2 linked regions of the Oryzias latipes genome follow. The protein of the gene in region 1 purifies or fractionates together with the protein of each later gene. This does not show direct contact. Links are inferred from orthologs where the notes say so. Each region holds a gene or a part of one and is shown in the gene's direction. Other genes may lie near its edges.

Evidence for each region.
Region 2: the proteins of tdrd3 (region 1) and fmr1 purify together in Homo sapiens (affinity purification with mass spectrometry; 4 studies listed by BioGRID and IntAct, with this or other methods). This does not show direct contact. The link is inferred for Oryzias latipes from reciprocal best matches to the Homo sapiens genes TDRD3 and FMR1.

Annotation. Positions count from the first base shown.
Region 1 is NC_019861.2:15,649,189-15,653,007, reverse strand, and holds part of tdrd3 (tudor domain-containing protein 3), read left to right. Parts: intron 1-63; coding exon 64-205; intron 206-327; coding exon 328-399; intron 400-1,424; coding exon 1,425-1,574; intron 1,575-2,589; coding exon 2,590-2,742; intron 2,743-3,311; coding exon 3,312-3,489; intron 3,490-3,610; coding exon 3,611-3,736; intron 3,737-3,819. UniProt on the Homo sapiens protein: Scaffolding protein that specifically recognizes and binds dimethylarginine-containing proteins. Plays a role in the regulation of translation of target mRNAs by binding Arg/Gly-rich motifs (GAR) in dimethylarginine-containing proteins.
Region 2 is NC_019868.2:25,375,414-25,379,232, forward strand, and holds part of fmr1 (synaptic functional regulator FMR1), read left to right. Parts: intron 1-1,332; coding exon 1,333-1,449; intron 1,450-1,535; coding exon 1,536-1,706; intron 1,707-1,785; coding exon 1,786-1,864; intron 1,865-1,949; coding exon 1,950-2,089; intron 2,090-2,182; coding exon 2,183-2,269; intron 2,270-3,287; coding exon 3,288-3,504; intron 3,505-3,571; coding exon 3,572-3,766; intron 3,767-3,819.

The DNA of each region.
Region 1 (3,819 bases):
AAGAGTTTGTGTTGCTTTGCTAAAACATGTCTTATTTAAGCATTGTTTTGTTGTCCTTTTCAGTCTGAATACACCCCCCGGAACAAAGGTGAAGCTTCTTGGTACAGTCCAGGTTAAAAATGGTTGTTTGCTTCTTGAAGATTCAAACATCTTAGTCCTTGGAGGAGAAGTTGAGCACATGGTGGAGAAATGGGAGCTCCAAAGGGTGAGATTGTTTTTTTTTTGGCTTAAAAGACAATATCTAATTTTAGCAATCATTGCTCTTTTTATTTCATTTGGGCTTACATAGCTTTGAACATGGAGTTGTCTTTCTTCCTCACCTTGCAGAGTTTGGCAAAACACAGCAGGAGCAACATCGGAGCAGAAGGGGGCCCACCTCCCTTTGTACCATTTGGTCAGGTGCGAAAAAGTCCTGCACGCTTTTAAACAAACTTCAACTTGTGTCTAGAAAAGGCCAGCTTTAAGCACGGATGTTTAAGAAATGGAATTTCAGCCGCAGCTTTAAGGAAAGCTGGGAATGATGAAGGTATTCAACAAGTCAGACAGGTCTGGCCTTGAGTTTCTTTTCCCCGCAGTGTTTCCTTTGATCTTTTGAAGCATTGTCTTCATAAATCTTTGAAATAGTTGGACAGATCTACAGTTCAGCTTTGGGCCTTACCTATAACCCGTGGTGCAAATGCTGCATTAGGGTTTTATACAAAAGTGTCTGGAATTTAAAAGAAAAACAGCAAAGAAAGAAAATATGGCATGTTTCTGTGAGTAATCTTTAAGTGGGTAATATAGCGTACGTGTCCACTTGTACACTTTAAATTGACAAATAGTTGCTTTCTATTCAAAGTTTAAAAGTGGAAACAAAAGCATAAATGCTTTTATTTTTTAATTTTTCTTTTAATTTTGTGTGTTTTAAAAGGTTAAAATGTGAGTGATTTTGTGTCAAGGTTTAGCATCTTTATCTGCTCTGGAATTGACATTTTTTTTAATTTACAACTTTGCATTCCTAATGTGTTTAATATCTGGATGTTGTCTCTAGGAATCCTTTTTTATCCAATTCCATTTTTTTGAATTTGTCTACAGCTGAAGAAATCTTTGAGTAAATCTGCTCTGTGCTTTACTAGAACCAGACTTATTTTCAGTTTGTTGCACAAGACATTAGAAAGTCTGAGTTGTAGAAGATATGGCCCATTTTTCTGCAAACTCTAAATATTCTAAACTTCTTTGAGAAATATAGTCTCTTTTAAATTGTGTGAAAATTTGGCATTTCCTTTGAATTCCTTTTTTCTCTATTGTTGAGCTGTTGTGTATCACTGATATTTGCATATCACCAAGGAAATGTATTTAAATTGGTTTTGACACCATTCTGTATTGTGTTACAGTGTTTCTTTGTTCAAACGACTAACAGAGATCTGTGTTTGTCCTCGGAGCAGAAGTGTGCCCGGAAGGACGAGGTAGACAGCAGAGAACTGGACCAGAGGAAAACCCTCCAGACGCAGAATGTGGTCAAGAGTCCCGACGAGAACGACGAGTTTGAAAAGCAGCGAACAGCGGCGATCGCCGAGGTGGCCAAGACAAAAGAGGTTTGTCAATGTTTTACGGTCACTTTACGGTTTCACATTAATTACTAAAACACACAACAAAGGTATCAAGAGAGCTTAAAAATCTGTGTTAGCAGTAATCTAAAAATAGAAGAATCTTAAAGCTTCGATGAAACTTGTTTTTCTGATATTGTTAACGAGTTCTTGTGGCATTTTTCTCACAATGGAGGACTTATATAAGGAAAATTAAGCCCCTGCCCCTCTATATTCTGATCAATCCACTTGCAGACAAATAGATCCAAATACACTTTGTTTTTACTCATCGGAGCTGGAATCTGCCTCAGAACTGCACGGCTGAATAGCTCTAAAATTGCTTGCCAGTTTTTATTGCAGCGGTAATGTTAGGCTGGGGGTTTGAGGGGCTGTAATCTAGTGGGAGAGAATGTAAACCCAGCAATGGGCGGGGGAAAGAGGGGCGAGGTTCCTCTGCCCCAACAGTTCCGCCCACAAATATCACGCAGCCTTAATCTGTGTTGGTGTTCCACTGATTTCCATTTTATGTGAATGCAGTAACCCCTTTTGGGTGCTTTCTGAAGCTTAAAATTAATCTTCCAGAATGAGGGTAGCTATTTTATTTGAAAGGAATCTAAATGCTCATGTAGCTGTTTTTTCTTCAAAGCGGTTATACATTTTTTTAAAAACACATTTTTACCCCTTTAACAACAAAACTGAAAGCACATTGAAAAAAACAGGATTTTCATTATTTACATCCTTCCTCATCACATCTTTAATGCCTTTAGACAAACTGTATTCTTTAAACTAAATTCTATTTTCTCAAATGATGCACCACCTATTTTGGTTACCAGCTCAAATACATGCAGTTTGTTGACATTTGCATTAACCTTCGTTGTTTAAAAAAATGGACCTTCTTAACATTCATCAGAAGAAGAACTTATAATTACAATGTCAACAGCAATATTCTTCTTTATTTTCCTTTCTTTCTCCTTTTTCCCGGCTTCCCATGATCACAACTGTTGTCTTCCTCTTTCCTTGTTAGGGTCCCCGCAGCTTTGGTGGCGGCGGGAATGCGGGCAGTAATTTATCCAACGCTGCCTCCTCTTCCCGAAGCAGAGATGCCAACCAGCAAAGGAGACGTGAAGACAAATTTGAAAAGACAGAAAGCAGACCAGAGGGAAACTACAGAGAGCTGGTGAGATGACCAACATTTATACTTTTTTTAACGTTTAAAGTTCAATACATGGGTATTTCCTGACAATAGTAATGCCTCCTTGCACCGTTAAAGGAGGCAGCAGGTTGCTCTTCTTTATTTCTTCACATTTTTGAACTGAAGTCTTGTTTCATCGTTTAGAGGTCGTCTGACACATTGACCAATGTTAAAGAATGTAAATGAACTTGAGGTCCGTCTGGTTTTTAAACTAAGCTGGAGTTCATTTGTCTCTTTTTGTTGCTTTGCATCATGAAGTTGTAATTGTCCCGCTTTAGGCTGAACACATAAATGTCTTCACGGGTTTAGATGTGTGTTGCAACACATCTAAACCCGTGAAGACATAAGCCTGTTTTTATTAGGCCTACCTTTTTAAATTGAAATATGCACTACCCTGTAATTTAAGCTAGATTTAAAAAAAAAAAGGGGAGGTGTTCCTCATGCATCGTATTTATTGCTAGCCATGAGTCTACTCCTTCTCTCCAAAGCTATACACTTTTCCCGTCTTTGGTGTTTTTTGATTGTTGACTGTGCTCCGTGTGGTTGGTGGGCAGGTGGACGAACGTGCTCTGAGAGACCTCATGGAAATGGGCTTTGACAGAGAGGCAGCTCGACAAGCTCTGCTGGATAATAACAACAATGTTGAAGTGGCTCTAAACAGTCTACTGACCGGAAGTTCTGGTGGCCGACCCGGCTCTACGGTGGCTGAATCAAACAAGTCCCAACCCAGAGGTTCGTACACAAACCACAACAAAATCAATTCAGAAAGTCGTTTACGTTTCTCAAGTTGTAAAGTGGTGGTTTTTGTTTAGCCCCCCCTCCACCTGAGCTGTATGCTTAATTTTGACTTCAGGAAGAGGAAAGGGAAGAGGCAGATCCAGAAACGAAGACGAGGATGATGGGGTTGGAGGAAGACCTTCTGGTCCAAGCACTCTGTTTGACTTTCTGGAATCCAAAATGGGGGCTTTCTCTGTGGATGGTGGGTGAACATCTTCATGATTCTGCACTTGGAGCAACATCATTCAAAGTAAAACAAAGTAAAGCCCCACATCTCATCTGCAA
Region 2 (3,819 bases), on another chromosome or scaffold:
TCCTGGTGCATTTTTTCTGAAACTTATTAAGGATATTTGAAGGTAACTGTTGGGATTTGAACTTGTGGTGATAACGGCAGTAAATCAGAGCTGTCAAAGAAGACTTTTAAAGCAATCCTGGGTTCTTGATTTCACACAATCTATTAACTTCTGGGTTAAATCTCAGCTAAAAGGAAAAACCAGGTTTGTTCACCAAATTACTCCTAGGTGGGAAGTAACAAAAGCATATCGGCTCCCATTTCATTAAACTGTAAAATGGTCCATTTTTTTTACAACAGTAATAAGCATTGACTTTGATATCCCACTTGTTACTATTATTCCAAAACCACAGATGTAAATCTCTGGTTTCAAATAAAGTGGATAAAACCGTTGGGTAATGTAACCACACACTATGTCTTCTAAAGTCATCGATTGTTCAGCTTTTTCTCTGGTGTACGTTCAGAGTCGACCGAGATCCAGTCAATCTGTTGTTAAGACCTCTTCTGGCGACACGAGTGCCTTGTTTGCCGTCAGGAACGCTGGTTGTGGACAATTCCAACACAGAAGTAATGAGATGGCCTGGCTGCAACATAAGAGGTTTTATAAATAAACCAACAGAACATGAAACAGAACCAGGACTGTGGCAGAACTAAACCATGAGGGGATAAGTGACAACAGAGGAACTGTCAGTCAACAACTTAATGCCTAAATAAAGTGCTGTAAATAATTAAAATCTGGTGTGACTGACGGTGGTTGACTTGGCACGAACCACGACTGTAAATGAGAACTGGAGTGAGTGACCCCTCCCCTTTGGCATTCCAAAGAGGAAGTACCTGCCAACTCCAGGAAGCCAAAATCCCATAAACTTCTATTAGGACATAAATAACCATTCATGTTCTGCTACTTTCTATGTAACATTTTCTTGCTATTCTTTTTTCTTCTTCATGATATTTGTCCTTGTAGTTCAAGTTATTTAGGTTATAAACTGGCCAATCAGATGCCCGCAATAAAAGTAGGTAGTGCCTGCTGGCCCCTCCAAGAGCAACATTTGATAGATTTCGTGTAGGCCGCTGTCACATGGTAGGGGTGTGGACTTTCAACAAGCTCACTCCTGATTGGTGAGAGTGGTTGCCATAGAAACTCAGACTTGGTCCAATCACTGCTTACTGACGACGTCTGGTTCCAACATGTATCATGAAATAAAAGGTGACTGAATCGACTTCACTGACAAAGAACAACGCACCTTGCATGAAAAGGCAGCGATCCAAACCGTCGGAATCAGTCATGGGCTCTCCAAAAACTCCAGATAAGTGTGACGACTTGTGTCTGACGGTTCCTTTAATGTGTCCACAGTCAGTGAATGAGGTCACACTGAAGCGGGCCAACATGATGAGCGACATGCACTTCCGGAGCCTCCGCACCAAACTGACGCTCATGCTGCGGAACGAGGAGGCCAACAGGCAGCTAGAGGTGAGTGCATGAAAAACGCTGCACGTCTGCTTTGGACCGACATTCCGACACGGCTTCATTTGTGTCTTTTTTTGTTTTGTTCCCAGAGTTCCAGGCAGCTGGCGTCGCGCTTTCACGAGCAGTTCACGGTTCGGGAAGATCTAATGGGTCTGGCCATCGGGACTCACGGCGCCAACATCCAGCAGGCTCGCAAAGTTCCTGGAGTCACAAACATCGACCTGGACGAGGAGACCTGCACGTTCCACATTTACGGAGAGGTTTGCTGATGGTTTCTCCCGACGGTGGTGTTTCAGTCAAAGACGGTTCCCTGAGACCATTTTCCGTTCCCCCCCCCAGGAGCAGGATGCTGTGAGAATAGCCAGGAGTTTCTTGGAGTTTTCTGAAGATGTCATCAAAGTTCCCCGCAACTTAGTAGGTGAGGCAACGACCCACTGTTCCCACGCTGTTTATGAGGCTTCAGTCCGGAAGTCATCAGCTGACTGATTTTCATCTCTCTGCAGGGAAGGTGATCGGAAAAAGCGGTAAGCTGATCCAGGAAGTGGTGGATAAGTCTGGCGTGGTGCGAGTTCGCATCGAGCCCGAGAACGACAAGAAGCCGTTAGCAGCAGCAGCAGCAGCGGCGGCGGCGTCAGCAGACGAAGTAAGGAGGAACAGAAAGCTGACAAAAATATCAACAACCGTTTTTCTATGATCCTGCAAAAGCTTATAAACATTTCAACCTTGTGTTCTGCAGGGAATGGTGCCGTTCGTTTTTGTGGGAACCAAGGAAAGCATCTCCAACGCAACAGTTCTGCTGGACTATCACCTCAACTACCTGAAGGTCTGTGAAACCAACCTGTACGGCAGCCGTCCCCAAACCCCGGGGGGAAATAAAAGAGAGAGGGAAAAAAACATTTTATTTATGATTTGATTCTGAAGGAAGTTTTATTTTGAAAAACTACTGGATTCTCTCCTCCACATCTGACTCATTTTTGACGCATAGGTCGCTCGTCACGTGTCAGATCCATCCGCTACTTTCTGAAGTGGATGCACCGACCGCTAAAACGAGACCGCTAAGATAGCAAAGGAAAAAAAGAAAGAAACATGTTTGGAGACGAAGAATTCTAACAATTTTTTTTTTTTTCAAAATAATAGAAAGCTGCATTTAACAGACGAAAACAAGGAATCTTTACTCTAAATACATTTTTGCAATATTTGTTCCCATTGACTATAATAATGATGCAGATTATTCAGCAGCTGGCTGTTTAATGTTGAGGATGCTGCTAATTAAGTTGCTCAAGCAGTAGATTTACGACTCCTATCATTTATAGAAAATAAGTCTTCGAGACCGTTTTTTAACTTTTTTTTAATTATCGGACCTTAAAAGTTAGACGAGGCTTTTTTTTTTAGCTTCCACTTTGACAGTTATGGGTTAGGGGAAAATCTATATCATGTTTGAATGGTTCCAACGTGAGATCTACTTTATAAATAAAGTTTAAATGAGTTGCAGAGGTTTTACAGAGGATAGAGAGACATTTTACCCTCAAAAGTTTGGAGAAATTGGAATCTAAAACAGTGATCAGATGCCGACTTTTCTCTCGTCCGTGAAAATATTGTCTGACATTAAACTGACAACTAAAAAAGGTTGTGGAGCCCTGCCGATACTTTATTCATCCTGTGACTCAATAACAAATGATTCTTGGGGAGCGTTCCAATAAGAAAGACCTCCTTCCTCTTTGATCCTTTCTATAAAACATTTGAGCAGAAATTCGCTGGTTATAGTTTCTTGCTAATTGATTTTTGGCGTCACACAATGAGAAGTCTTCTCTTCCTCCTCCTCCTCCTCCTCCGCTCCTCAGGAGGTGGACCAGCTGCGCATGGAGCGTCTCCAGATCGACGAGCAGCTCCGACAGATCGGAGGCAGTGGAGGGGGGTCGGGACCCCGGAACCCCAAAGACAAAGCCTACGTGTTCGATAACGGCATGGGTCTGGGGATGGGCCGAGGAGGAGGGAAGCCCTACTCGGGAGGAAGAGGCGGACGCGGGCGGCGAGGGGCGGGGGCTTCATTCACTTCAGGTAGGACCCTCAAGTGGCGCCTCGTCTCTCCGTGGCGTTGGTTTGACTTTTCTTCTTGGGGGGTCAGGCACAAACTCGGAGGCCTCCAACGCTTCAGAGACAGAGTCGGACCACAGAGACGAGCTCAGCGATTGGTCACTGGCCCCCACTGAGGAGCTAATGACAGGAGGCGGGACTTTACCCAGACGGACAGATGGGAGGAAGAGAGGTGGAGGTGGAGGTCCACGAGGAAGAGGAGGGAGAGGAAGAGGAGGATATAAAGGTGAGTTCATCCTGGGTTAGTTCACATTATGTTAAATTTAAATGCTGTTTGTG